Danio rerio: one gene and its partners. The protein of the gene in region 1 interacts with the protein of each later gene in a pairwise test. Links are inferred from orthologs where the notes say so. Each region holds a gene or a part of one and is shown in the gene's direction. Other genes may lie near its edges.

Evidence for each region.
Region 2: the proteins of tacc1 (region 1) and snrpg interact in binary tests that used the Homo sapiens proteins (3 or more experiments, as listed by UniProt). The link is inferred for Danio rerio from reciprocal best matches to the Homo sapiens genes TACC1 and SNRPG.
Region 3: the proteins of tacc1 (region 1) and lsm7 interact in binary tests that used the Homo sapiens proteins (3 or more experiments, as listed by UniProt). The link is inferred for Danio rerio from reciprocal best matches to the Homo sapiens genes TACC1 and LSM7.
Region 4: the proteins of tacc1 (region 1) and htt interact in binary tests that used the Homo sapiens proteins (3 or more experiments, as listed by UniProt). The link is inferred for Danio rerio from reciprocal best matches to the Homo sapiens genes TACC1 and HTT.
Region 5: the proteins of tacc1 (region 1) and sh2d4a interact in binary tests that used the Homo sapiens proteins (3 or more experiments, as listed by UniProt). The two-hybrid records come from large-scale screens. The link is inferred for Danio rerio from reciprocal best matches to the Homo sapiens genes TACC1 and SH2D4A.

What each region holds. Positions count from the first base shown.
Region 1 is NC_133185.1:25,344,740-25,350,746, reverse strand, and holds part of tacc1 (transforming acidic coiled-coil-containing protein 1), read left to right. Parts: intron 1-3,520; coding exon 3,521-4,532; intron 4,533-5,024; coding exon 5,025-5,060; intron 5,061-6,007. UniProt on the Homo sapiens protein: Involved in transcription regulation induced by nuclear receptors, including in T3 thyroid hormone and all-trans retinoic acid pathways. Might promote the nuclear localization of the receptors.
Region 2 is NC_133198.1:36,913,674-36,920,236, forward strand, and holds the start of snrpg (small nuclear ribonucleoprotein G), read left to right. Parts: upstream 1-2,593; 5' UTR 2,594-2,710; coding exon 2,711-2,742; intron 2,743-2,977; coding exon 2,978-3,000; intron 3,001-6,563. UniProt on the Homo sapiens protein: Plays a role in pre-mRNA splicing as a core component of the spliceosomal U1, U2, U4 and U5 small nuclear ribonucleoproteins (snRNPs), the building blocks of the spliceosome.
Region 3 is NC_133197.1:10,399,757-10,406,198, forward strand, and holds lsm7 (U6 snRNA-associated Sm-like protein LSm7), read left to right. Parts: upstream 1-2,649; 5' UTR 2,650-2,664; coding exon 2,665-2,670; intron 2,671-2,912; coding exon 2,913-3,003; intron 3,004-3,106; coding exon 3,107-3,178; intron 3,179-5,486; coding exon 5,487-5,629; 3' UTR 5,630-6,162; downstream 6,163-6,442. Other genes in the region: sass6 (spindle assembly abnormal protein 6 homolog), read right to left, coding at 1,623-1,727, 1,847-1,926, 2,016-2,076, 2,227-2,291. UniProt on the Homo sapiens protein: Plays a role in pre-mRNA splicing as component of the U4/U6-U5 tri-snRNP complex that is involved in spliceosome assembly, and as component of the precatalytic spliceosome (spliceosome B complex).
Region 4 is NC_133176.1:44,386,948-44,392,954, reverse strand, and holds part of htt (huntingtin), read left to right. Parts: intron 1-349; coding exon 350-464; intron 465-2,470; coding exon 2,471-2,702; intron 2,703-4,183; coding exon 4,184-4,289; intron 4,290-4,371; coding exon 4,372-4,534; intron 4,535-5,144; coding exon 5,145-5,305; intron 5,306-6,007.
Region 5 is NC_133185.1:7,472,396-7,478,402, reverse strand, and holds part of sh2d4a (SH2 domain-containing protein 4A), read left to right. Parts: intron 1-2,910; coding exon 2,911-3,058; intron 3,059-5,696; exon of another isoform or gene 5,697-5,856; coding exon 5,857-6,007. UniProt on the Homo sapiens protein: Inhibits estrogen-induced cell proliferation by competing with PLCG for binding to ESR1, blocking the effect of estrogen on PLCG and repressing estrogen-induced proliferation. May play a role in T-cell development and function.

The sequences.
Region 1 (6,007 bases):
ATTCCTAATATTAATTGATGCTTTACCTTAAAATTCGAGTAGGCGTATTGATATTAATTACATTAAAATGTTAGCACAGATAATTTGCTTAAAAGGAAGCAAATAAATTTAGCCTGATTCATTTATTACTAAGAATAATCAATCATACACATTTCTTCATGCCCCAAAATCTTTCATTATAACAAATCAAATATAAAAAAAAGATAAAATTGTTTAGAAGAATGAGTTGTTTATGCTTTAGCCACTGTGATTTACAGTATAAGGCCTCAACAGGCTGTAAAATAAAAGCTCGATTTTGACAGCAGATTTCAGTTCCATTTCCTTATCTAGAAAAGTTTGTAGAAAAGCTTGTTTTCTTTATATTTTCCTCTCCACCTTCAGACATGTGTCCAATTTCAGGGCAGTGCACCATATAACTAACTGAAAACAGCTGCAAGTCTCCAGACTCTTTTTGAGGCGTTTTTCTGCCCATTAAAATCCCATAAACACACTTAAATCTGACTCGTCTCTACCATATGCATGTACATGAAAACATGTGTATCTTGTTATTTTTTTTCGCATTTTGAAATCTTATTTTAGAGTCTGAGTGAAGCTCTTTGTGGATGAGTTTCTGTGTTTTACGTTACAGAGATTCAGCAGGACGACACAATCTGGCCTCAGCTAGAATCAAAACAGTGCAAACAGTATTAGTTACTTAAGTGGAGGAGGTTTTGAGGTTGGAAAATAGAGTTTTGGGTAAAGAGAGGCCCCTGACCCAGTGTGGGAAAAGCGCACAGCTTGGAATTCAAGAGTTTGGAATTGAACAAAAGCATTCGCTCCACTCACAGCACTTTTATCAATGGACAAGGTCAAAGGCTTGCAGGCACGAACATCATGTGATTTAGATCTTTTCTCTAAATGACACACACAGACACACTGACACACACATTTGAACTCATTGAAATTTTGCTAGCTCACCATTTTTCTAATTTACTAATGCTGTCTTTTAGTTTACATCTAGAAAACTAAAATGCCAAGTTTTTGAGAAAGTTTTGTTGTGATTTGCAGCATACTTCAGGCTAAAAAAGGCAGTTTTTCCAAGCCTACGTGTCGTGGTTTGGATTGCTTGAGCAGACCGACAGTAAAAGTTTGGCTCCTGCTGCGCACAATCCAGTTTCCACCACAGACATCCTCATCCTCTCAGCAGTACAGACACACTCCAGTGCTAGCTGTCTGGAATAAACGTTTTCATGGCTAGCAGCGCTTTAGCCAGAATTTGTGGTTATGTAAACAGAAGGCTTCTTTTGTCCCTTCCCAAGGCACTAAATCCTGCTGCATCTTAGTCAGACATTAGTTTCTTTCAGACGATAGAGAATATGCATTATTTACTGTAGAATTGCCTTTCCTAACCATAATGCTCAGTCATGCACATGGTCATTGTTATTGTTCTTTAAGACTGAATTCATTAATATATGTGACAGCATTATATATTTGCCAGGGATAAGTGTTCTTATTATTTTTACCATTGTTATATAATCAAACCATTCTGACAAGTATCTCATTGGGTTGGAGATGGAAGCATTTGTGTTGTGTTAGTTCATGCAGACTGATGCAATTCCTGCTCACTTTGATGAAATAAACATGGTCAAGGCATAACACTCCCACCACAAAGAGGAAGCTCTAGTCACGGCTACTAGCACTGGTTGCATAACCGTTCACATTGTGCCTGATGATTCGCATGTTCACATGCCAACCATAGCTTTCAGAGACTGAAAGGATCAGGGGTCTTGAGCCCCTGCCTCTGTAATCTGTAATGATGACTGAAGTGTGCATTCTATACAAACATTATTGCCAGAGTGCTTTGCATTTGACCCATGGGGAGCACAGGACAAGATCCCAACTAAGGGGCACCTCTTCAAATGGAAATCAATTTCATGACTGCCACTTGTGGAGGTTTGTCGAAACGTTTTGTTTTCCAAAGTAGACTATCCTATACGCAGATACCAAGGAGCCTTGACCTCTGGACGTGATGACAAGAGCAACCCCAGAGACTTTTAAAAAGTGCTGAACTGAATGTTTTTATGTCCTCGATGAGAAGGGCAGCCTGATATCTCGTTGAACAGCGAAGGACAGTGTAGTGCCAGCTGTGGAGGAAAAGACACAAAGAGGAAAAGAAAGTTAAAACTTGGCGAAAGCAGGAGGAAGATTGGGTGTAGACCAACTATTGGAAGGTCTGTGGATGGGATTTTGTGATAACAATATTGTGCTGAAGGCTACAGTTGTGTTCATTTTGTACATGTAAAGCAAGTTCCCTAAAATGGTAGTTGGTAAAGCTCAAGTTCTTCTTTTTGGATGTACGGTAGATACCAATGTGTGACAGTTTAGACAGTGCTGGCATTAAAGTTGCATTAAAGCAATTTTCATGCAGTGTTACCATAAAACAGTCTTCGCAATTCTGTCCTAGGGACCCTCACTACTGCACAGTTTGTGTATCTTCCATCATCAATCACAACAAATTCAGATCTTCCAGCAGTTTACTAGTGGGAGGATGAGTTGAATTACTGGTTTTAGATAAGATAGACGTGTAAAATATGCAATGGGTCTAGGCCTCTAAGAGTTTTTGAGAAGGACTACCCTAAACAACTTACTCCAGGTCAATCCCCTGAAGCAGTCTGTGCTAGTCTGTTCAGTAGTTAAAAGTACAATCTTGTTGGGATCAGTCCTAAAACCTTTTGGTTACCAACCCTGACCCTCAACCTCTATAGTATATCCCTCGAACAAACCCAAACTCATGTCACACCCATCAGCACCAAGATTAATGTGTTGGGGCACTAACTGAATTTAGACTTATTTAGCTTAGAGAAACATTCTCCTCATCACTAGACATGTTCTTTCTTGCATGTAAATATTTAGAACAGATAGCAGCTAGTACGTCTCAATCTGAGGTCAGTGCAAAGTCATAGATCTCATTTATAAATAAATCTCTTCCTGTCTCTTAGCAACAGGCTGTTGCATCAAAACCCAGCGATGACTGCCAGTGGGACTGTTTGTCAATGAGAAGTGTGTTATAATGGCTACTGAAAGAGTGCTGACACAATTTCACACATAGTTACTACAACTGAAGTTGTATAGAGGCAGTGTCATGACACAGAAAGGCCATGTCTTATTTCTAGTACATCTGAAATGGGTGTGTTGAAACATCTAGACTACTTTTGTCGTTGATTGTTGCCTAAAGTTGTGCTGCTGCATTTTTATGCCTAAGAAAGGGAAGAGAGGACTATTGTTCAGCTCTTTGCATCCTGTCAGAAGCATTTCCTGCCTTTTCTGTCGTAAGGAAGTCTGTTCTTCAAATATCCTATAGGTTGAACAATAGAGCAAATAGTATGTGCTCTAAGTATATATGAAAGGAAAAGTGAAAACTCCCTGATAGTATATTAGGCGAACGTACTATATTGCAAAATATTATTGCCATATTTCAACAAGATAATTCTATAAATGATCTAGACTGTGATATGAAGTATACCTCTTCTACTTTCTACAGGTTTCTCAGAAGAATATGTAAATCATTTGACTGCCATCACAACAAAAACTCAGAATCTGACCTTGGAAAAGAGCTTTGCTGAGGATGCACCTGCAACAGTCCTGCGGCAGAGCAGTCTGGACTCCACCCCAACCCTGAAACCTAAGTACCAGCTTTCATCTGTTGACATGGATGTGGACCAGCCTGATCCTGATGATGCAGGTGCAACAGAACACAGCAATATCTGCAATGGTCACATTGAGGAACCATCATCAAAACCACAGACCAAGTCTCTCAAGGTTAGACCTCCTTCTCTCCAAGTGAAGTCCCCACTGAATGGTGTTGACCCCAACGAGGTGGACGATGATCCTCCGATACTTCCGAAGGGGAGCTATAACTTTGACCTTGATCAGGTTAATGAAACCATGAATCCATTTCCAACTGGTGGGTCCAAGTTGCAGAATTCTCCACCTGCCAATGCGAGTATTCCTAAATCAGAGTTGATGGATGAAATGCCTGCACAGCCAGTTTTGCTTGAGTTTGGACTTGATGATACTGAAGTCAAGACAGACCCACCCAAAAAGTCTGGAAAAAAGACAAGCAGCAAGCTGACTACTCCAAAAAAACTGCGCCCAAAAGCTGCAGAAACTGCAGCTCCACTACCAGAGACATCCTCAGAACAAAGCCAACAACCACCTGAAAACGCGGATCTCATCAACGTTGATGATATTCCTATTCCTAAAAAATCCTACAACTTTGACCCAAATCAGTGGGACGATCCCAACTTTGATCCATTTGGTGGGAAACAAAAACTTAGCAGCTCGCCGACGCTTCCTAAAGGATCGTATAGTTTTGACCCAGATACATTTGATGACTCTGTTGACCCTTTTAAGTCATCAAAGTCTTTAGGTGGAAGTGACTCTGTTAAACCAACATCTGAGAAGCTAACAGAGAAACTCAAATCTGACGGAACTCCAGAGCAGCGTAAGAAAGCTGGACAGTCTCCGAAAAAAAGCAAAGACAGGATCCTCACGTGAGTGATTATGCCTGACAGACACCCATAAAAGCTGTTGTATGTTTTATCTGTGGCTTTGTGTTGTGTTCCTAGCTAGCTGTTGTGCCTAAAATTAGCAAGGGCGAGCAGTTTGCATCCACTAACATGTTACATTCTTTTCACTTTGTGTTTTTATTTTATTGTTGGTGTTCTATTTGTTTTTTTTTTACATCTCAACTGATAGTCTAATCACACATCTTTCACATGGCCCAATATCACAGTTTACTGTCAAAAATGTCATGGCAGTCATATTTACACTGTCATGCTGTACACTTTTCACTAAACTATGGCATTGACTAACCAGCTCCTATTTGTTTGGGAAGCCAGGAAGCTTGATCTCACTCCTACCTAATTTTTTTTCATGCTTCGTTTTTGCCCTCTAATGTCTTACGGCACGTCCCTCTCCACATCCCCTCCTCTCTGTGTCTGCTTTCTCCCTCCCCGTCCCTCCCTCTGTCATACCGTCCTCAGGACCACTGAGCAAGTGCGGTTTCTCTGTTTTCTATTGTAAGTATCCTCTCCTGCCCTCCTTTCCTGTACTATGACTGTAACCTCTTCTGTCCCATTGCATGTCATGAGCTTTGCTGAAGGCTGAACTGCCCTGTGGCTACGAACCACGTGCAGTATCAGTCCTCCAAACAAACTAGGGCAGAAGGTCTTATTTTATTGTATTCAAACTGTTCAGGCAGACAGTATTGATTTAGACCATGGGCGTTTTGTAACGATTTTTAAGTATGACCCTTTCACTGTAACCATCAGATTAGCAGATTAGTAGTTTAGATTGGTATTTTCACTGAAGTGTTATTATCAAGCACTTATCGGTTTGTAGATTGTAAATAAGTATGGTAGGTTGTTTGTTTTGAATAGAATGACTATCACTATTTTTTGAGTGGTTAGCCAATGAATTTAAAGTGTTAAAATCTAGATAATAGGCTGACTGGCCACCCTAATGCTGATGATACTGGTTATATGGGATATAATGGAGTTTAAATGTTAAATATATTTATTATTTTAGCAAAATTTAGCATTTTTAATCACACCCACAGGTGTGACTGCAGCACCTATGCTAAAGCTTTAGCTTTAAACACATTTGCAGGCACATCAACATCTATATATATATATATATATATATATATATATATATATATATATATATATATATATATATATATATATATATATATATATATATATATATATACACATACACACATAGGGCTTGATATTAACAGCTATCAACCCACCAAATGCGAGTAAGCTGTTAGACAGACACTCCCACCAGCCACTTTGGCTGGTTGAAAGTAACGCTTAAATTGCAGTTCTATTAAAAGCAGGATTCGACAATAAGGATGGCTAAATATTTGTGCAAATGTGATCTTAGAATCGAGAAGCAGCACCACTGACAAAAAAACTGTTCGCGTGAGCAAAAGAAAGCAGGTGAATACAGAATGAGA
Region 2 (6,563 bases), on another chromosome or scaffold:
AATGTTCTGCTGAATTGATTCAGGTGTGTTTGATTAGGAAGAGGTTGAAAATGGGTACTGTTGATGTGCCTTCAGGAACAGAGTTGGGGAAACACTGAATTAGACTATAACCAAAACATCTATCACAAAAAAATACATTTTGGTGTGTGTGCGTGCATGCGTGCGTGTTTCATAAAACATACATTTCTAATAGTTGACTGCATGAGAATGTGTGATTTATGATGTAGAAAACTGTAATTTATCATCAATATAAATTCCTCATTGTAAAACTCCATGAAAACACACTCTTATCGTCTTTTTTCTAGGTTATGACATGTTTCCTTCAATAATAAGAAGCCGATTGCATTATCAGATACTGGTACCTCATTAAAACCACTTCCACTTTGCATGTAGTTTATCTTTAGGATGAATGTTTTCCACACTTCCACACATAAAACCTATATGCATTACATGTGTTTGTGTATATATGGCATATATTGAACAAAAGTATAAAGTCTTATATATGGCCAATGTCTTGCGAGCTGAAGCACAAACACAATTAAATTTGTTTAATTGATAATTGTTGATCTTTGAGATTTGATTTTGACTATTCAGTTTGTGTTGAGCAAACGTAATACAGTAAGCTTTATTTTTCATAACAGCATCAAAACAACACCCAGTCAGATGCCTGCTGCTAAACATTGGGAATAAAATATAACATGTTGGAGCATTACAGTCGCTTGCTTTATATATATAAATATGACATTTTATGCTATCAGACCAAAAATTGCAAGTATATTTTCAGTTTCTTTCTGGAGAATGAACTGAGACCTCAGATCTGTCCGTTTCGCTGACTTTTGCAGCAGAAAAATTTTGTTCTTTTTTTCTTGCTTGGGCTTCCTAACCTTTGTAATATGATGTAAAATTTATAATCTGCATTAACTTTTTGTATAACACAGCTAACACTTTTGCAGATAGGCTGCAGTGACGTATCAGCTTTTTTCTTATTATGCACTGACCTTTTTGTCCTTGAACACTGTATTAAATGTACCTTTATGGCTCACATTGTATGAGATGAGTGAATGTACCTCATTTTTCTATTGTGAATATAGATGTTTCAGTTTAGCTGTGCATTAATCTCTGGCTGTGTTTACTTGCGGCTACCTCAAGTATCACCTGCTTTGTCCCAAAATGTGTGATTTTTTTTTTGATTTTTTTTTTTGACTAATGTTTGTCAGAAAATTTACCTCATGTTACTATGTACGTTGAAATTATTTTTGAATAAATTGGTTAAAATATTCTTGTAAGTTTTGGATTTATAACAGGCCCTAAGCCGGGGGGTTGGGTTGGATTAAGGTAAAGTTCGCACATTCGTTCAGTGACAGCTCCATATATTGTTTACCGTGGTACTTTGAATTTTCGGACTGAAATCAGATGTAAATATGACTTTAAAGCAACATTACCAATATTAAATTGACTGTCAACAATGTTGCACTTTGATGGTTGATGGCTGCTAATATGATTTCACTATTTAGAATTTGCAGTGAATACTTCTCTGAAATTATATTATTAAGGAGAAAGTGTGAATGTGCGAATATAAAAATTAACTTTACCTCAATAGGCTTTGAGGGGTTCGAAAGACCTACCCCTCACTAACAAAGGTCCAACATTTGTTCCATATATGAGCTTGTTTGTCTCATTATAATTGCTATGCTTCATAAATTGTAAAAATAACTAAGCAAAAAGGGTCTTAAAACCAATTGTAATCCTCTGTTGGCTGTTGCTGCGGTGTGACTTCAGCTTATCAGTTTTGAACCTTTGATTATTAATAATAATATGTATTCAAATGGGCAAATTCTAACTGAGGACAGTTGAATGAGCTGGCCAAGTTGTTGTTTGCCCAATAAATGTCGCTATAATAGGCTACAGTTTTTAATTTAAACATTAATAGATTCCTTTTTTTTAATTAATATTGGCTGTAACATTTGTTTTTTAAAAATATGTATTTATTTATTTTTCTTTATTCCAAAATTTTAGGAAATATTTTGATTCATCAAAATTGTGGTTATGATGACTATTCGACAGGTTAATTCAGCTAAAGATAGTGCTTAAAATATCACTAAAATGCAGTATATCTAATAATTAAATAGAAAATGAGGCAAATACCTGCAAAAAGGTAAACTTACTTAGAAAAAAGAACCACCCCTTTTACCAGGCTGGCTATGGGCCTGTATAATATTCATTCATTTTCTTTTTGGCTTAGTCCCTTTATTCATCAGGGGTCGCCACAGCAGAATGAACCACCAACTTATACAACATATGCTTTACACAGCAGATGCCCTTCCAGCTGCAACCCAGTACTGGGAAACACTCATACACTATAGACAATTTAGTTTATTCAGTTCACCTATAGCACATGTCTTCGGACTGTGAGGGAAACCGGAGGACACCCACTCGAACACGGGGAGAACTTGCAAATTCCTCAGAGAAATGTCAACTGACCCAGCCGAGAGTCCGAGACTCGAACCAGCGACCTTGTCGATATGTTGTTGTTGTTGTAGTTCATCATCCGCCGGAGTAGAGGGCAATATTACTCAATGGTGCTAGTACAAGGGAAAAATCCCGCGACCCAAAACGTCACTTCCTGCATTTCACTCATTCTCCGAACAACGCTTGAAACGTGATTCAAACGTATTTGTTTGACAAAACTAGCATATCTCACTAAATAAACATGAGCAAAGCACATCCACCCGAGCTGAAAAAGTAAGTATTTCAAGTATTTTCTTGAGTTTTTTAGAAATTTGATATTAAGAAGTATTTAACATGGGCAACTTATTAACGTTAGCCGGTGTGTGTTCAGTTTAACGGCTAAATTACTTTATTTTCACATCAAGCATAACTTATATTGCTAATCCATTTTGATATATTTTATATGAGTTAGCTTTCAGTTTGGTGGTGTATCTATTGTGAATTAAGAAAGTGCCTTTTCCCCTCTTAGGTTTATGGACAAGAAGCTTTCACGTGAGTAATCTTTTAATAACGTTAGATGTTTCTCTTTCCAGTTAAAATATGAATTATAGCTCAATATTAGGGCTGCACGATATTGAAAAAACTATACATTGCGATATTTTCTTTTTTGTAATTAAGTAATTAAATATTTGAAAAGTGGTTTTGTAGGGGAGTGAAATTTAAATATACATTTTAATGTAGTTTCTTATACAAACTAGTCACACACACAATTGGGTAACGTAATTATTAAAGTGAAATAAACCGTCCTTAATGGGTTTCTTGAGAGTCTAACAGTACTCAGTTGGGTTTCCACAGTGTCTTAAATGTCAAAATCCAAAATTTGGCCATTAAAAAGTATTAATTTGACTGAAATATTGTATTGTGTAGGTCTTGATTCTTTTTTTTTTTTTTTAAAGTCATGTGTTGCTACCCAGTCTGGCCATTAACACCCATACAATCACCAACAATCCTCTCAACAAAACCTTAAACTTTTTATTTAAAAAGGTAATTTTTAATCTATTTACCATAATGGTTTAATTATTTTCCATACAATAACATGTGTTTAAAAGTTCTCCATGTATTTACTACTGAGGACACTGAACAGGAGAGATTGTTGTGCATAGATTTAGTTTATTGTAGTTTTTAAAAGTTTTAAAATATTTGTTCTTTTTTTTATTTTAAAGAAAGTTTATGTTGAGGAAAAAAGTGTATAGATACAATTAGAGCTTGCTTGTTTTTACACAATATTTTGCTAAGAAATAAAATCGGAAATATATATATTTTTTTATTATTATTGTATTATTAAATGTATTAAAATATAATAATGTTTTTGATAGGGCAAATAAAAATCTTTTCCATCAGGGCTATTTGAAAAATTCCTTAGCTTTTAGCACTTTATGGGTCTAAAATGTAATTAATAAAGGTTTTATAAACAATTAAATTTAACTGTATAACCTGCAGAAACCCTGATTCAGGTACTGAAATCGAATAATCAAATGTAAAATAGCACTGTGTAGTCTTCACCATACACAAATTTTAATAAAATTAATCTTTATTAAACATTTTCATGCACTACTAATGTTTTAAACTCTCTTCAAATGCTCAGCCACATGCCTTAAAGTGATGATAAACTTTCACTCTATTGTGCTTAAATTCTGCAGTGTCTCCACAAATCTTGTGTGTTTTGACTAGTGGTTTCTGGTGGTCATCTATAATCCTAACTATCGCCTATCTTGCGATGTAACTAATGCAGATGCACACATTTCAATATCATTGCTCAAGAAGTGATATATTGTGCAGCTCTAATATATATTAATATTATTTCAATAAAAACGTTCAATGATGTATTTTACAGGGTCCCCGCGGGTCCTTAAAAAGTCTTAAAATGTCTTAAATAAAATTTTCGATTTTTAAGGTCTGAAAATGTCTTGAATTCTGTAATTTTCCATAAGGAGGTCTTAAATTTCATGTGGGATCTTAAATATCATGTCCGACTCGTCTTATGTCGGCAAATCAATGCCAATATAAATCGAGCGCAGCGGTGATGTTTGCGCGCGAGGAGAAGTGAACCGTGAGCAGATTACAGACACGCGAGAAAACTACAGCTGCAAGCGCACAGGGGATCTTCACGCGCGCGCTCAACTGATCCAGCGCGAGAAAACAAGTCCCGCGCGCGCACATCATCATCTTATGGCAAGCCCAAGAGCTCATAAAAACACTATTAATCAATCGCGTTTACAATTAAAACGCCGCATTAAACGGCGCTAATACCATTTCAAACGCCGCTAAAAACGCCGTTCTGATTGCAAACGCCGCAAATAACGCGCGTAAACCTGTAAAAAACGCCGTTTTTAACGCCGTTTTAGTGTTAGTGAAAAGCGCGGTTTATGACGCGATCCGCTTGCCACAAAACGCCGTTTAAAACGCCGTTTTAACCCCACTGAAACGCGCGTTATAAACGGCGCTTTCCTGAAGTATAATGAGCCACGCCCGCTGATTTCCACAGCCAGTAAGCTTGAGCTGCTCTCACCCAATCAACAATGAACAGAACCAGACAAGACTAATTCACCACTGATCGTAGCGGAAGAAGGGACTCTGAACTGATAGCAAATGCTTATTTACAAAGTACCTTTTACAATAGATCGATTCCACGTCTTTGTGCTTGTAAATGTTCATTTTAGATAGATGGCATCAGAAGAAATGTATTTTTGTAAGTGCCTTGGCAAAAGTGAGCGGGCATGTTATTGTAACCCTTATTTCTGGCTGTTTACAGACCATTCTCTCCAACGTGGGCATCGTAAATAAACGCTGGTTACCAGGGTGATAATTCGTTTCTTTTCTTTAATCTGGAGCATCGACATAACATTCACAAACAACATTACAACAGCATTGCATCTGCCGAATTCCTCCACTTCCTTTTTTCCCTCTCTCTCCTGCTTTCCGGTGCGCCTCCCTCAAAGGAGCCAGAGCACATCAATAACTTTCTCAACTAACACATATTAAACCTTGTATCAGACATATTGAACGTAAATAGAAAATCTTTTAAGTATATTCAATAACATTTTTACAGTTAAGTATTAATTAGCAAAATATAAATTAAAATAATGAATAAAATATAAAGTTACATTGACATAGCAGGTCTGCAAACGCAAACTAACCGACTCAATAGGGCTGCATGGGCAACATCAGTTGAGGGCTAATGCAGATTTTAGCTCCAGCCCATCAAGCACCTGCCAGCTTTAGTGGTCTTGAATACGTTGGTTAGCTTGTTTGGGTGCGTTTGATGTGCGTTATAGCAAAACTCCACAATGCCATCCCTGACAGGCCCTGCCAGGTGCATTTTAAAAGGGCAGACCTTATGACTGATTTTGGACCCTCTTGTTCCTTTCATTTAGGCTATTTATTCACTAATTTGGTATTACTTTGCATTGCTGCCCAAGTTACTGACTTAAGGCAATATACTTTTATAGTAATAATAATGCGCACAGTTTCATTATTACATCAATGAATTAGTGCAACGATACCGTTTATATAAATGCGACTGATCTTTCAGTGCCAAACAAGGGCTTTACATTATTTTCATTCATTCATTTTCTTGTCGGCTTAGTCCCTTTATTAATCCGAGGTCGCCACAGCGGAATGAACCGCCAACTTATCCAGCAAGTTTTTACGCAGCGGATGCCCTTCCAGCCGCAACCCATCTCTGGGAAACTTCACATTATTTTATTCTCCTTATTTATTTCCGTTTTATTTCAAATAATAAATTTTTACAGTTTTAGGTAAAGACGTCAAACTATGCTTGCAAGCTAACCCACGGTTAGACTATTCTATACCGATAAATAAATATAGTGAAATCAGCAAAATCATCACGCTTCACGTACACTGAAAAAAGTGTTCTTGTAGCCGTACCCAACCAATATAAATGAGAAAAAGTTAAATGTTACAATCTAATGTCATTAAAAAAAATAAAAAATAGTAGCTATTTGTGTTAATTAGTTAAATTTAAAAGCATTAGTGTAGACAGAAAAATACATTTAAAAGATAGCTACCTAAATTCACAGTTATTACCGAGAGAA
Region 3 (6,442 bases), on another chromosome or scaffold:
AGGTGCCATTTACAAATAAAATGAATTATTATTATTATTAATTAAGGTAATATTATTGCAAATAAATTTCATTTTCTTGCACAGGCTGATCATTTATCTTCATATTTCCTAAATGTGCCATCAAAAGCCAGGGTTATTCATTTTTAACATAATTTTTTCTCGACTCTCAATTAGGGATGCAACAACTAACCAACTTTACTATTAACCGCGCTTTAATTTGTCACGGTTAATTAATCGTAATGGCTTTTCAACATTATGTTTTTACACATAAAAAAAAATCTTCTGTAAGTTATTTAAGTTATGCCAACTGTATGTTAGCTTATGGTGTGCACATATTGGGAGTGACTTGACATGCTCATGCTTTTCAGGCAAACCTAGCTGAAAGAATGCCGCGAGTGCATCACGAGTCACATGACAAAAAGTGACTGGTCAGCTTGGAAAATACACATTTCTAAAAAAAAAAAAAAAAAAAAAAAAATTCACTCCAAGACACTCAAAAAATGTGGAAAAATATTTTTAAAATATATATTTTTCCACATTTTTGGAATGCCTCGGACTGATTTTTGCTGTTTATTTTGATGAATCCCTTACCCAAAGAGCACAGACACAACCCCTGAGCACTTTTTGTTTGATTTTGGATAAGTTTATAATATACTTAAATCAAAAGATCCTTTCAGACAGAGGCTCAGCAGCCTTTGACTAAATTTGTTCTCTTTAAAAGGGAAATCCTTAGCTAATATAAATCTTAGATTTACATTAGAATAATAATACTTTTTTATCTTATTTTCATTTATTTATTTATTATTCTGTCATTTATTTTGAGTATACAATTACTTTTTTTAATTACACTTTTTTCATTTTTTTAATGAAACTTTTTTCTTTCTTTTTTTCATCTTCAAGTCTAAAGAGAGACATTGAATATTGTTTGTTTTTTTATTATTATTTTGTGCTGTATTATTTGGTAAGTGAGCAGCAATAAACAACACTTTAAAATATAAGTAGTTTTCATGTGATTTATTAAACTAGTAGTGTTTTAAAATGAATGAATGCATAATAATCCTAATCTCGATTGAAATTGTGATTATTCCTCAGACTGTAATCGTACGATCAACATTTATAATCGTTGCATCCCTGCTCTCGATGTGCTTTTAGCTTTGATTTTTGTGCAAAATAACAAAAAATTAACATTACAAAAAACATGTTAGTGTCCATTTTAACCATACAAGAGTAAAATTCTTAAACCGTTTATTGCTATTATTATTTTTAATATTAAGAAATGCTTAAATGACATTATTTGATTTGAAATTTAGAAGAAAAAAAGAAATGTTTTCAAACATGTACAGACAAATACAAATATAGAGTTTTCAAGGGGTCTCTTTATTTTTTCCCATAGATAGATAGATAGTTAGATAGATATTTATAAAATTTTATATAAGTTTCATTTCAAAAAGTTTATATTTTTGAAATAAACACCAAACAGTATTAATATTTGACTCAGTGAAGAACCAATAAGAAATTTTTGTCCTGAGGTTGACTAAATCATCAGTAATTATTGACTTTAGCCTGTCTATCACTTTAACAACTGCAACATCTGAACATTATTATGAATTATAACCTCTTACCGTGGGTTTTCTTTGTCCTGTTCGCAAATGCACTGTTCAAGTAAGTCTATAAATTTTTGTGGGAATGATGTGAAGTCTATTAAAAGCCCTTGTTGTACTTTTAAGCTGTGAAGAAGAGCAAATAAAAACGATTACACAGAATATAATCACATAGAAGCCTAATAGCAAAGTGTTGAAAATAAATATGGCTCATTGATGAAATGACACTTTTAATACCACAATACCTTTGAAAATCCTCCTCTGATATGATAAGGTTGTATAAAAAGTAAAGATCAGTATCATCAGTCAGCCGTACAACTAAATCCTGTTGATCAAAAATTTAAAAAAAGTTATAAGACCACATAAAACATGCTTAAAGGCATAAATATGGTTGTACACATGTTAATAACAAACCTTTCTGTGAACAGGGCTGGATGGTAACTGCAGTTCAATGCTAACGCGAATAACCGAACGCCTGTAGTAACAAAAACAACATATATAAACACATATAGACCCTTACAGACTTCGAAATGTTAATAATTACAGACAAAATAAAGCCAAAATTCATACCATAAATCAATTTAAGTTAGGCATTGTGTTCAAAAACAAGACAATCAACACAAACCTCTCATCGGTATCTTTACTCTTCACCAGCACCTGCAACCGCTTGTTAAAAAGTAATTCCGTCATTCCTAATTCATTCACAAAGCAACGATAATAATTAAAAATCGTGTAATCCTGTTTTAAAGATGTTATTTAGGTTGTTGAAAGACTCATTTGTTTTTCGCGCTTCACTCCCGCGTTTGTCCGTTTCCAACCGGAAGTGAGAAACACTTCAACCTAATCACGCGTATCATCGTATTTCAACATGTTTTTGTTTTTATAAATCGTATAATATAGATATAAACATTTAAAGCTGTATATACTGTGTAGTTGTGCGTGAATAAAGCTGATAAAATTGAAAACATTTGATATCAGAGTTCACCTGCGCGCGTTGTGATTGGCCGAGAGGTAGACGTCAAACGTGAACCCGGAGTGGGCGGGGCGTAGAGGAGTTTTGAACATGGCGGTGAGTAGCGCAAACGTTTCCACACCGTTCACATTATAAACACTTTTAAGGACAAACGGCGTTATAAACAAACATATAAGCACCTGAATATATCCTACACTCTTGATATTTATGTTGTTACACATTAGGGTGTGCTGGTAATTGTAAATGTGATGTGTGGTGTATTTTTGTGCTAAGCTACGAGTCTGATATTTATTATAGAGGCCTGGAGATTGTTATATAATATGTTTTTGGATCCTCAGGACAAAGACAAGAAAAAGAAGGAGAGTATTTTTGATTTGTCGAAATACATCGACAAACATATACGTGTAAAGTTTCAAGGAGGTCGCGAAGGTGAGGGAGTTGCTTTATGAAATTAATTATGAATTTAAATGTTTCACATTATGATATTTAAATGAATTGTGGTAAATTTGACACTAGTGTTTCCTATTTTCAGCAAGTGGCGTCTTAAAAGGCTTCGACCCGTTGTTGAATCTTGTGTTGGACGGCACCATTGAATACATGCGAGGTAAAATGTGCTAATGTAAACCGAATATGTACCAAATTATGTTCTGCATTAAATTTCTCACAGTATTAATGTTAGTGTGGTTTGTTTTGAACAAATTTTAGTGTAAATGCTGCAATTTAAATTATAAAATTAATCAATTTATTAAATTATAAATTATATAAAGCAACATACAAACTCTTGTGGGTTGACTGATATATAAATGCATCTAAATCAACCCAAAGAGGACATGATGCCATGATATTAAACATAAAAAGGCAGAATGCTCCAGCATAGCTATTTTTGTCAGCATAACAATGTTGCTCCTTACCGTTCAGTTCAGGCATCAGAAACAGTCTCAGCAGATCTTCATTTGGGTGTGTGTGAGCCAGAGGAAATTCTGGTGTTGGTTTGACACATTTAATATGGTTTTCTGAGAGAGTTTAAATGCACTTGAAGTTAAATAGTTCACCCTAAAAAAATGAATACTGTCATTGTTAGGCATGGGCTGGTATAAGATTCTGACGGTTGATAACCTTAGGTTGAAATATCACAGTTACACAATATCATGTTATTGTACATACTGCTCCAAAATATTTTATTTTTAAATGTCTGAGTAAAAAAAAAACTTTTCCCCCATTGAACATGGTTTATATTTTTTAACATTTAAAATATTTTGAAACTATAATGTCAGGCTAAATAATTTATTGTTTATTAATTGTTGAATGTCATTGACTTCTGCTGTCTTAATTAGTTTCAAAAGCACAGATTTCTTTTCAACTTGAAAAGGCATCTTTGGATATCTTTCTTTTCTTTGGATATAAAAAAAATCATCTACACTGTTCAGCTCTACAGCATGCTGGATGTTGGTTTATAAGAGATTTGTTTTTCAGATGTTTCCTGAATCATGGTAACTTGTGATGTGGATGGTCCTTTTCTATTGTTGCCCAAAAAAACTCAATAAAATAGTCGTAAAAAAAAAACTTACAAATACCTTGAGAACGGTATAACAGACAATTTTAACGTTTTTAAAACCTTGACTTTTCAAACCGCGATAAACCTTAAAACAGTTATTGTCCCACGCCTAGTCATTGAATACTCACCCTTTATATGTTTCAAACCTTTTTGAGTTTCTTTCTTCTGTTAAACACAAAAGAAGATATTTTGAAAAATGCTGAAATCTAGTAGTGAAACGGTTAGTTTTCGGATAAACTATAACTAAAAAAAAAACAACAACAGGTAAATAGAAAAACACAGATTGAGAAAGCTGAGACACATATTCCTGAATGTGATAATATGCACCGAAATGTGTCGGGGGACCTGAAAATGTAATGAACCCGACCCTCTGCTTCCTGTTTAGAGGTGGTGGTGTTGTCAAAGAGCTGAGTGTTTTACTTTAACGTCCTAGTTGTATGATTCCCTGGTGTTTGGATAATTTTAGCTTTAAATGCTGACAACACCACTGTCTCTAAAAAGAAAGCTGCCCCAAAGGTCCCCCAAAACATTTCTATGTGCATATTTTGGAAGTTGCATTCACGTTACTAAACTAATGACGATTAATTCTCAGTTTGTAAGTGTTTTTCTATTTGCATGTTTACACTGCATTTGTCCTCTCTAGGGCACCGTATTTAACTGATTAAAAAATGTGTGCATGCACATACAGCAAACAAGTGTATCTAAACATACAGAATTGTTTTGAAAATTTAAAGTCACAGAATCCACCGCGGTGACTGAAGCTCTGCACATGACTTTTGGTCAGCGGAGAAATTAAAATGGTCGTGCCCAACTGAGTCTGGTTCTCTCAAGGTTTTTTTTCTTCACTCCTATCAGGTGAAGTTTTTTTCCCCTCTCCGCTGTCGCCACTGGCTCGCATGGTTCAGGATTGGTAGAGCTACGCATTGATGAATTTGCTCTTCAGTGTTTGAACTCTCAGTAATGATTTTAAATCACACTGAACTGAGCTAAACTGAACTGAACTGAACTTAAACACTAAAATCTGAACTACACTGTTCCGGTTACTATGACCATTAATGTGAAGCTGCTTTGACACAATCTACATTGTAAAAGCGCTATACAAATAAAGCTGAATAAGCTGAATTGAATGTCATAAATGCAGCTGCTTTTCTGTCAAAAATCAGAGTATGAAAGCTTGACAAACTAGGACTATGTATAATTTTTTTGTTTGGTCCAAACAAACTGACTAAACTACAAGTGTTAACACATCCGAAAATACGAAAAAACCCCGCCCTAAGAGTAAAGACATCTGTGTTTGACTATTATCATTATATCAATGGTTTTATATGATTTCTGACCACATTTATTTCCCACACAGATCCTGATGACCAGTATAAACTGACCGAAGACACCAGGCAGCTGGGTCTGGTTGTTTGTCGAGGGACGTCTGTTGTGCTCATCTGTCCACAGGATGGGATGGAAGCTATCCCGAACCCTTTCATCCAGCAGCAGGATGGATAATATTCTCCCTGTGATCCTGTGCAAATGCCTGGTGAAGAATACAGAAGGTTTTTGTTAGCTCGGAAATCATGAAAAGTGTAACATTTTGTATTTACACACAGGATAAATGTTTGTTTAGGTTTTTTAGATAGGATTTTGCTTTGTGTTGAAATGTGTGTTTAATAAGGTTTTGATTTATGAGGCATGTTTTCTGTTCATGAAAAAGGTGTATAATGATGCCCTGGTTCTTTCTATGTTGTTTTATTGCTGACGTTAATAAACACCTGAAATTTACACATTAAGCAAAAACTAAGATTATACCTGTACCTCAAAGGGTGGACCCCACAGGTTTTTCTTTTAAGAAAGCTTTTGTACACAAATGGACATCGTCATTCAGCCAGCTTTCTGAGAACATTGTGTAATCTAGTATTTTGAAGGGCTTTGGTTACTGGACGCCTTGAGAAAACATTCTTGTTTATTTACATGGTGTCTTCTACTGTGTTTTACACTAAAAAAAAAATAAATCCCTAGATTAAAGACTGTTATGGACCCTTCTCTGGGACATGTTTTTCCTTCTGTCGTGACACCTTGGGATTATAAGGTTCAATTTGCACTCTGAGTGGTTTTGAGATATTACGCTTTTTGTGTTATGTTTAAAAGATTATTATGTTTTAGTTATTATAAATAGTTTTTTAAATTAAAACTCCCAAAATATACTCAACATCATTTAAAAAATACAATATATTTATAAAAATATAAGATATACTTATACGATAATAGTTATAACACCAAGCTTTTGTCATCTATCAACTTTATGCAAGGACACTGCAACGC
Region 4 (6,007 bases), on another chromosome or scaffold:
TCTCGCACAAACTCTTGGTGTTTGCCGTTTCATTTAAGAGAATATAGGATGAAAGGCTTCACACTGTTAGCACATCTCTTAAGAGGTTAAGCCCCATGCAGTCAAAGCTAATGCCAAAGTCTCTGTGGCATGCTGGTAGACTCAATAATATGTTCACACAGGGAATGACAACACACACGGCACGCTGCATGGTCATCAGCTCCTCATTAGCTGTAATGTATGGTGTCTTACTGAGATCTGAGATCCTTCATTAAAGACCAGCGCTAGAATTAGCATCAGATCGCCTCGCTGAAAATACGCAAGTGTGTTTAGGACTAATGCTGTTTATGTGTGTGTGTCTCTTTTTCAGCTGTGTAAATCTGCACAACCAGCAGCATGTGTTGGTGATGTGCGCCGTGGCTTTCTACATGATGGAGAACTACCCGCTGGATGTTGGCTCTGAGTTCAACGCCGGCATCATTCAGGTGGGAGGAGACCACATTATAATGTGTTAATATATAAAATTATAATCTGTTAATAGATCAGTTTGATTTTGTAATCCATATGAGCGGTTTCTGGATGACTATTGGGTTGACATGAGATGTTTGTTTGTTAATTTTTTTAAACCACAATTTTTATTACTTTAAACAGTCATACAAATTGAAAAAGGTTAAAATTGTAGGTTTACATAAAAATAATAATACAACAAGAATAACATATAAAACTTAAAATAACTTAATACACTTTGAGAGAAAGAAAAAATAAAATAATAATATTAAATATTACAGGAATAACATATGTCTAATCTATATACTTTCAATGTCCAGTTTGTTTGTTTATTTATTTTTGTTTAATCTATAAATTGATGAATCATGCATAAAATGTTTTCTAAAATGTGACGTCAAATCAACAACAAAAAAACTAATTTTCATAATGAAAAAAAATAAATAATACATATATATATATATATATATATATATATATATATATATATATATATATATATATATATATATATATATATATATATATATAAATAGATAGTTTGATATTATTGAAGCAAAGAAACAATCTTCTAAAAATAACTTTATTAAATATTTTATTCATATTTTCATTTACATATAGTCAATAAGTAAATGAATTACTGAAAACACTAAATGAAACAGAGATTATATCATAATTTAACTTATTTACACAAATCTTAGGTTAAGTGTTATTAGATAAGTGATATTGACTTGAGTTCTATAATATAATGTAATATTCTGTAATTAACAATATCTGAAAGCTTCAAGGGACAGATTTACATTTCAGAAAACAAATTACTTATATTTTTTTATTTTTTAGAAATGCTTTTTTTGTTAGCTTCTATCTCTCATGGGCTTTTAATAAATAAATACAAATTTGTAGTAATCCTCTTTATATTAAATTCTAATTTTAATGTCATTAATATATCCATAATGTAAAAAAACAGCAAAACATTTTTTAAATAATTGTGTATGCTCACCTTATTTAAAGCTGTAAGGAAAATGGTTTTATTGATTTATGATTACTATTATTACTATCTTTTTAAACCTGAAGGATGCTTGCAGTGACATTTTGTCACCCTTCATAAAAACCATGCATAATCTGTAGGACAGTTTTTTTTTTCATATTTATTTGTTAATTTTTACAGTAATTGGTTTGTAAACAAAGCAGCAACCTTATTCACAGAAGTTATAAAGTACCCACATTTATACAACTTAGCATAAAACAGATATTTATATGGGTTATAACCATTATAACTAGGGCCAGATGGAATCTGCGGACATTTTTTGCTATTTCTGCTGAGAATTTTGTAAATAACTGACTTTTAAAGCATCATAACTAAAAACTTCATATATGAAAAAAAAAATAATATGGTTTTAACTTTGAATAAAATTTTTACAATGCAAATGCAATTGGATCCACTTATTTGGTAAACAAAGCAAGTCTCCCATATAATATATCTACTAAAAGACAGAAAGTATTACTTTATAAACTGTATTGTAAATAAATCATATGGACATTTTCATATCAGTCAATAATATTACTGGATGAATATCAATTTACACAGGAAAATGAATAGACTCAATCATCTGTGGATTTCAAAGTGCTCAGATTCTGTATCCCTAGTTGTAACACTTGGCATGAGATTGCCAAAACTCTGGTCAAAGAAAAGACCTTCAAGAGAGGTAAAATATCTGTACACAACTGTCTGTGTACACATTTTCATCATATTAAGCATCCTGTCTAACAAATAAAAAAAAAAAACGTTATGCTTTCTTAACTCTGTTTGGACATGAGGTAAGAATGTAATACAGATTTTCAAAGCGATATGAATCCAAAGACACATTTCTAAGAATGAAGGACTTGAACATTAAACTAATGATTACAAATTTTTTCTCTTCTTTATCTTTGACACTCTGTCATTGACCCTTCTCTCTCTTCTATTTTACCTTCTCTGCATATCCAGCTGTGCTGCATGATTCTGTCCGCGAGCGAGGAGGCCACACCGTCCATCATCTACCACTGCGTCCTGCGAGGTCTGGAGCGGCTGCTTCTGTCTGAGCAGCTTTCACGCATGGATGCAGAGACACTGGTCAAGCTCAGCGTTGACCGCGTGAACATGCCCAGTCCACACCGCGCCATGGCTGCCCTGGGTCTCATGCTCACCTGCATGTACACAGGTGTGGCTGGAGAGGAAGGCAGGACACATTTCAGCTTCATCTTCAATACTGACCCACCCTACTAACAGTAGCAGCCATAAGAGCAGGCTCAATTTATAGATACTCACCTTACTAACAGAGCACATAGCAGCAGAATGAGTTCTTTAAAACAACGCTCCACTTTCAAAAAAATAAAAATAATAATAATAATTAGGTATTTTTACAGCTTCTCTAGAGTTAAACAGCTGAGTTTTGCCATTTTTCAATCCATTCAGCTGATGTCTGGTGAGAGCACTATTAGCTTAGCCATTTGACCATTAGTATCTGGCCTAAAAATATTTTAAGTTTGATAGTTTCTATTTAAGGATTTCCAGTTTAAAGCGTGACTTTTCTGTAGTTACGTTGTGTACTAAAACTGATAGAAAATAAAAAGTTGCACCTTTCTAGGCCGATATGACTAGGAACAATACTATCATTCCAGCATAATGTTCAAGAAACTATGCTGCTGTACACTGGCTGCAGCAGGCACGATAAAAATTACGCAGTGCCTGGAAAAAAAGACCCCAGCACTAAGCCGTACACCTGCACCTTCAAATCTGTGTATAGTTCCTAGCAATAGGAAAATAGCATCTTTTTAATTTTCTGTCAGTCTCAGTACACTATGTAACTGCAAAAGGTCAAGCTTTAAATAGGAAATCTTCTGAAACTCTTCGGCCATTTTTGAGCGAGATGCTAATGGGCACATCCGATTCAGTGATTTCTGCTAAGCTAAAAGTGCTCCTGTCAGACTCTGAAATCAACTGAATGGATTCACAAAATGGTAAAACTCAGCTACGGGATTTGTAAAAAAAAAAAAAAAAAAGCCTATTTTAAGAAAAACTGGAGTGTTCCTTTAAGAAAGTGCTTTATGTTTAAGGTTGTTTTAAGTGATTAGTTCACTTCCAGAAAAATGTGATAAATTTGCGCTCCTGCTAGTCATCCAAAATCATTTCTTTCTTTCTTCAGTTGCTAAACAAATAGATTTTCTTCCAGTGTTTTCTCTATACTGTGGAAATGTTCTGGTAGTAAATTATTTGAACTTTAAATGTAGCTTTGAAGTATTTTAAGTTATCCCAGCTAAGGAATAAGGTTCTTTTTTTGTTATAAAGTACATGGATTGTTATGCTTTTAAGAAAATGACGATCTATTCTAGTTCTGGGATTGTTCAGAGCCCTTTGTAGCTGCACTGAAACTGCAATTTGCAAATTGAAACCACCGAAAACCGCTAAAGTCGACTATATGGTGAATGATGCTCTATGTTTTCCTCAAAAACCATAAATCATTTTCAAGGACTAAATTGAATTCATTTTGGATGTCAAGTGGGTAGTAAATCATCAGGACATTTTCATTCTGGTAGTGAACTAATCACTTACGCATATTAATGTTCTTATTATTTTGTAAAAAAACTGAGATTTTTCTTATTTGGAATGTAAAGAAACCAAACTGTTCCTCTTAATGATGGCCCTCATTTTACACTACAGGAAAGGAGAAGGGAAGTCCTGGACGTCCTGCTGATGCAGACCCCACAGCTCCTGACAGCGAGTCAGTCATCGTCGCAATGGAGCGTGTATCTGTTCTGTTTGACAGGTATGTATGTTTAACCATATATTTTTGTTCCAGTGATTCATCACAATATATCTGCCTAATCTGTGGCAATTTCTTGCGCCAGGATTCGCAAAGGTTTTCCGAGTGAGGCACGTGTTGTGGCCAGGATCCTTCCTCAGTTCCTGGATGACTTTTTCCCACTGCAGGATGTTATGAACAAAGTCATTGGGGAGTTCCTGTCCAATCAGCAGCCTTACCCACAGTTCATGGCTACAGTGGTCTACAAGGCAAGTGCCATATTTTAGGCACTGATGTCTTTTGTAATGCTTTATGCACTCTGTGATCTTAAATGAATTTGTTTGTAAAGGTTTGGTCATATTAGCAAAATATCAGGGAAATCTATAAAAAGGTCAGTTCAGTTGTCTGTTATCATAGTGTAGTGATATATGAAGCACTGCTTACACAGATATTTTTACATTTATATGTGTGCATTTTCTATCCAAAACAACACTGTATACAAGTTACATATTTTTTTTGATTCTGATTTTTGATTTAGGCACAAATTACACATTTGATCAGTTCCCTGGGAATCAAACTGTGACTAGTTGAGCTACAAGAAGTCAGTGTAGCCAAAGTTAATGCTTAAACAATATAAATGTTTGGTGAATAAATAAATAATTATTGTATTCAGGCAGTTGTCACGGAAATATTCTTTAATTATAACTCGATAAAAAATTCAACTATAAATTGGAATAAATGTGACAATAAATATGACAAAAAAACTCCACTAGAATTACTAAAACTTTAAAAGTAAAATGAAAACAAAATAAAAATTCAACTATTAATAAAAGCTAAAATAGTCGCTGGATGATACTGAAATTGTACTTCTTACTACAGGTGTTTCAGACGCTTCATGCCACTGGTCAGTCCTCCATGGTCCGGGATTGGGTCCTGCTCTCACTGTCCAATTTCACACAGAGAACGCCTGTCGCCATGGCCATGTGGAGCCTGTCCTGTTTCTTTGTCAGTGCCTCGACCAGCCAGTGGATCTCTGCCCTGTATCCTTAAACAAATTATCTTTTGATTGCTGTAATTGATGCACCCCTTAGTGTGTAAATCTGTTTTGAAATTACATTACAACATTGTTTTTTAAACAAAGGTTTACTGAAGATATTGTCTTTATATGAATTCAGTTGTAAACTAAATTCTTGACCTATTACAGCTAATGCTGTAAAGCAGGGGTGTCAAACTCAGTTCCAAAAGGGCTGAAGCCCTGCACAGTTTAGTTCCAACCCTGCTCCAACACACTTACCTGTAGGTTTCAAACAAGCCTGAAGGACTCAATTAGTTTTATCAGGTGTGTTTAATTAGGGTTGGAACTAAACTGTGCAGAGCTGCAGCCCTTTAGGAACTGAGTTTGACACCTGTGCTGTAAAGTATAGATGAAGCTGCACTATTATTTTTTACATTAATATAATGATAAAGGGAATTAATAACAAAGGCCATATTAATCAATTATTTACTTTTATATTTGAATAAAATAAACACTCTGCAAACTGTTTTATGCTAACAGGTAAATTGCTCAAAAGGCAGTTTTTACATTTAAATCTAATTATAAAATAGAAGTTGTACTTTTTTTTTTACACATTATTCCATATGTCTTCAAAGTTATACATCTAATAACTATGGCATCAATAACAGTAATAAAGCCTTATTAACAAATAGGCTAATAGAGTTAAAAAAAATTTGAGAGATGTGCA
Region 5 (6,007 bases), about 18 Mb from region 1:
TTATTAAAGGGGTGGTCCACTATGATATTATATTTTAAACTTTAGTTGATGTGTAATGTAGCTGTGTAAACATAAACAGCATCTGTGAATGTTAAAAGCTCAAAGTTCAATGCAAAGGGAGACCTTGGTTTTTACAGAGTTAGCTTAGCAAAGCCTACAATGAACGAATTTTGGGGACTACAAAAAAATGCTTGCGGGCCTTGTGAGATCACAAACGTACTTTTACCGCACACACACAGCTAAGGGCTGTGGCCAGAGGCGCTGTAACGTTACAGCAGAGAGAGCTAAAAAGCAGTCCAAACGCTGCTATTTCCACAGAACTTCTTCTGTTTCTGTATTTGGGCTTCCAAAGGACACGACACAAAGAGAAGTGCTTACAGTTCAATATTAATTATGTTCCAGAGAATTATAAAACACACAGCAAGCATGATTTGACAAAACACAGCTCCAGAATCTCTCCTAGTTCAGTGCTGGATTCGGTTAAAATCTCCTCAAAGCAGAAGCTGTGAACTACAACCTGTAAGTGTTTTTATTTGTTAAAATGGATCATGACATGTACAGTGTCTAGTGTTAACGGTATGCTGTAGCAACGATGTAAACAATGGGTAATGCTGTTTTCCACCACAAATGATTTAGCTACAAATTCATATTTATCAGTCAAACTGCTGTAAACACACACACACACATACTTCACCGGCGTGTGCAGCCTTTCTCTATGTGTGTGCACGACTTTGCATTGTTTCTCTTTAGGCAGCTTTTCTATGCGTTTCACATCTCAGATTAAGAAGTTGCAAAAGATATGTGGATGATTCATATTACTTACACCTGCATATTCCGGATATATGTGAAAGACGTTGTGTAACGCGTTGAGTTAAAAAATACACAATAGCTCACCTGACTCATAGCAGCAGAAAAATAAATCAAGGCTCACACAGGTCTCATCCCACATCTTGTGTTTTATTCTTCTGTAAACAGTGTGACGATATATTACAGAAAATAACTTAATCCGAGCATCAGAGAAAAAGAAAAAGAAAGTCCCGCATAAATGTTACACACATATACAGAAAGTTCACACATTCACACAGACACACGCAATAGCGATGTCTCTTAAATGAGTCGCACCCCATTTTCACTCGTTACAGACACATGTCAGATTTTATTTTAGAGAGCAGGCAGGAGGTTGACTGACTGTTTACACAGCAGAAAAGCGCATGCTTGTACGGGCATGACGTGGAGCTGATCCACGAATCGCTGCAGAGGGAATCAGAGGGCCTTTCAGAGGAACTAGGAAATATCAGTCTGTTTCATGTTAGCTGTGTAGCTGTATATAATCAAAGTGTGATTTATGAAAAAATAAAAAAAAACATGATTTCCTCCTGAATTATTAGACCCCCTGTTTATTTTTTTCCCCAATTTCTGTTTAACGGAGAGAAGATTTCTTCAACACATTTCTAAACATAATAGTTTTAATAACTAATAATAACTAGTTTATTTTATCTTTGCCATGACGACAGTAAATAATATTTTAATAGATATTTTTCTAGACACTTCTATACAGCTTAAAGTGACATTTAAAGGCTTAACTAGGTTAATTAGGTTAACTAGGCAGGTTAGGGTAATTAGGCAAGTTATTGTATAATGATGATTTGTTCTGTAGACTATCGAAGAAAAAAATAGCCTTAAGGGGCTAATAATTTTTTCCCTAAAATGGTGTTTAAAAAATTTATAATTGCTTTTATTCTAGCCAAAATAAAACAAATAAGACTTTCTCTAGAAAAAGAAATATTATCAGACATACTGTGAACATTTCCTTGCTCTGTTGAACATCATTTGGGAAATATTTAAAAAAGAAAAAAAATCCAAAGGAAGGCTAATAATTCTGACTTCAACTGTGTATGTATGTGTATATATATATATATATATATATATATATATATATATATATATATATATATATATGTGTGTGTGTGTGTGTGTGTGTGTGTGCGTGCCTGCGCGTGTGTGTGTGTGTGTGTGTGTGTGTGTGTGTGTGTGTGTGTGTGTGTGTGTGTGTGTGTGTGTGTGTATTGACGAATAATTTCAAACAGGCCAATTAACGGAGATGGATCAATTTTAATAAATGTAATTACTGAAAATGAATCAAAAACAGACTCCCAAGAAGGAAACGAAGCTGGATAGGTCCAAAACATGTGAAGTAGATTTGCAGGTTCGGAGTGACATTTGTCACAGTTTAAATCTGTAGCAGTGAACACGCGAGCCAGTTTACACTAAGACCAGTGAACCCTGTGGACTACTTTGCACAGTAGAATCCCATGACGAGCACATACAGATGATGTTTGGACCTTTTGTAAAGTTTTAACCAAGCCGTACAATTTTAAGTTGAGTCAACTTTTTTTTCTTTTTTCTTTTCTTTTTCTTTTTTTTTTTTTTACAGTGCAGGTTCTCATAAAATGTGTGCTTTGTTTCAAAGTTGGTCATGGGCATCCAGGGTATGCATCAGTGCACAGTGCTCATGAATGTGGTGCACACCCTGTACTCACACTGAGGAGAGAAACTGTTGAATAAAGACATTATTCCTGTTTTATATGAGCACAATTGACATGATAGGATTTTGAATGAACCACTGCAGGTGTGTGGTCTGTTTCGAGGATGCTTTTGGTTCCTTTCTGCTCGAGTCAAAACCATTGTTGTGTATGGAGTTTGAGGGAGCTTTCACATTTCACCTGAAATACCTTAAATTGTATTCTAAAGATTAATAAAGGTGTCAGGGGGTTTTAGTAATTAATAACTGAATTTATATTTTGTGTAAACTAATACTTTACTTATTGCAGGGGCTTTTTTTGTTACCCTTTGTTCCCTTTTTCTCCTTTTAAGTTTATTTGTGGTCTCTGGATGCTTGTTTTTGCTCAGAAAATGGAGCAGGAGGAGAGGCGTAAGGCTGAGGAGGAGCTGAGGAGGCTGGAGCAGGAGAGGAAACAGCAGATTTACCAGTGCCTAAAGGAGGTGCAGAGCAGCAAAAACACACTAGAGGAGGAGGATAAGGACTGGAAGGAGACATGTAAGACAAACCTCATCAGTGCTGAACACTACACCTTATTTTCTTATGAGTTTATTATTTATTGTTATATTTTAACTTGTATTTGTTACATGTACTACTCATTTAGGATCTGCATTACTGTACTGGACATTCAGGTGGATCTCTGAATAATCCATTAGTTGACTTTATTTGTAGAAAGTGATTAAAACCCCTTAACTGCAACCCCCACTTTTTGAACATAGACATGAAAATGGCATGTTCAACTTCATAGACCTCAAATTCCGGGAGGGCCACAGCTCTGCACAGTTTTGCTCCAACCCTAATTAAGCACAGCTGATCCAACGAGTCAAAGTTGTCAAGATCACTAGACATTATTAGATCAGCTATCTTTGATTAGGGTTGGAGCAAAACTGTGCAAAGCTGCGGCCCTCCAGGTATTGAGTTTGAGACCTAGGACTTAAATGAACGCCAATCTTCAACACTTTGCTATATAGATATAAGCTTAGTCTCATTTTAGACAGATGTACAATTTTTATTATATTTAAAAGGGTTCAACACAGTTTGGACAGTGTTTTGTTGTGTTTCATTAAAATTGATTCTCTTAAGACATCAATACTCTGATCAATACTCCTGTTTCAAAATAAATAAATAACTGTTGCTCAGTAATAATTCCTTAAAATCAATTAAACCATCAAAAAATAGACATTTTAAGCTTTGAAATCATATATAGTTTGTCATTACTGACTTATGTTTAGACTTTAAAAATGTAACTGCAAACAGTCCAATAGGTGACATATTATAAAATATATTGTATTGACATATGGTAAAATATTTATTTAGAAGATATAGGCATCATGATTCATGATAGAATCATGATTAGGATTAGACTGACATATAGTGAAGTTATCTTAAGTGTCCCGGTAGCGAGACGGTGACAGTTAAACCTATTGACTTAATTTTCACATTTTTCACATACTGTAGTTTGCTGAATTTTAAGTCACCTTAAAAGTTCAACTTGTCACTTGTCAAGTTTTTTTTATTAAAGCAATTAATTGATCTAACAGTGAACATGTACTTATGTTACAATGTCAACAGCGAACATTTCGAAACCCCTTAGAAGGGAACATGATGATTAGGGCACAGGGATGAACCCTCAATGTTCTGAACGCGTTAGATGTATTTCTGAAACATGAAATATTTGATTTGGATGTTCATTTAATGTTTTTTTAATGTAATTTCTTGTTTCAAAATGTCCAGAGAACATTGAAAAGCAAGTTGTAAATGTATTATATTAACAGAAAATTTTTACAAAATATATATCTCCTTGTTTGTTTTGTCACCCAAAATACTCTTACTTTCTCATTACTGCAATTCCATAAAAATAATCTCATTATTTGTTATCTTTTTTTTTTTTGTCAATTTTCAGTATCGTCATTACACTACTACATCTTTTTTAGTTAAAATTTTTGTTGTATAAAAGTCTACAAGACAATAAATTAGAGAACACATATTATATAAAAAATAAATTGAAATTACTGAGAAAGAGTGGAAAATAATTTTTAAAACACAGTGGAAATCAACATCCTCCTCAGTCTGGAGGGAATTTGGTTGGAAAAACATCATTCGTTTTTTCGTCATCCCTGAGCAAAAGACACATTTATACAAAAAGGCAGTCTGCTGGAGATTATGTGGCTCAAATAAAGCAAATCATTCACATATTTTCTGGAAATGTTTAAAAATCCAGGCATTTTGGCAAGACATTCATAAATATTTAGAAAATATATTCTATATCCCCATCGATTTTTCTTCCTCAACTTTATACTTAGGCCTAAAAAAATCCTATGTTAGAAGAAAAATCTGACAAAAAACTGCTGAAAATTTTGCTGATAGCCTGTAAAAAATGCTATAACCAAAAAATGGTTACCGCTTGAAATACCTCAAATTAGTGACTGGTTTGACATAATTTATGAAATCTATAAGACGGAGAGGCTAACAATGAACCGTCGTCTACAGACTGAGGAGTTTATTGAGACATGGAGGAAATGGGTAGATTATATTCTGCCGTTAAGACCAGATTTATTATAGAATGAATGAATAGTTAGAAAGATGTGAATTTTATTTTGTTTATTTTTTGTATTATTACTAGTAATGAGAGAAAAAATAACCGAAAGACAGAAAGAAGAACATAAGGTATTTTAAATATTGTACATTTAAGATCCTAAAAATGCCATCCTCATAGTTCCATGTGTACATAGTTTAGGTAATAAAAAATAAATAAATAAAAAAATTAAAAAAAGGGTTGACTGGGTGCCACAATATGACAAAAAAAAGTACACAATTGAGTTGTAACTGAAAAGCAACAAATTAATTTTATCCGTTTCTTTTTGATGATATGCAAAACAATTATAAGTGTATTGATTTTCTTGTTTCTTATAATGTCCTTAAATCATTAATGTAACTTCCATTTTTTATTAATGGAAATTTTTTAGTATTATATCATTTCATTTATTCCTACAATTTTGGGAATCCGATCTTTGATTGTTTTGTGAATACACTGTGAAAAACCCTATGTATGTGAATTTGGGAAAAAAAATGTTTGTACTGTAAATCTAATATGTGATCCATACTTTTAATACTTGGTGATACATTTTTGTTACAGTAACAAGAATCATAATTGGGGCAAGGGGGATCCTAACAGGCTTTATGATATTTGTCTGAAAAGGGAAGTGTTGTTGTCAGTAGTTCTCTTTCTGGTGTTATGTTCTCCCTGATGCATATATAATAAGAATAACCAGTGTGATTTTTGCATGTGGTTTTAGTGCAGAAGTCTAAAGCTGCAGACATGCGCAGACGATCTCTCGCCAAACAGACAATCGAGGATCATCGCAGACGCTCAGTCAAAGCTCTAGAGAGAGGACGTGTAGCAGCCATGACAAAAGCCTTTGCCAACTCAAATCCAGCAACTCCACC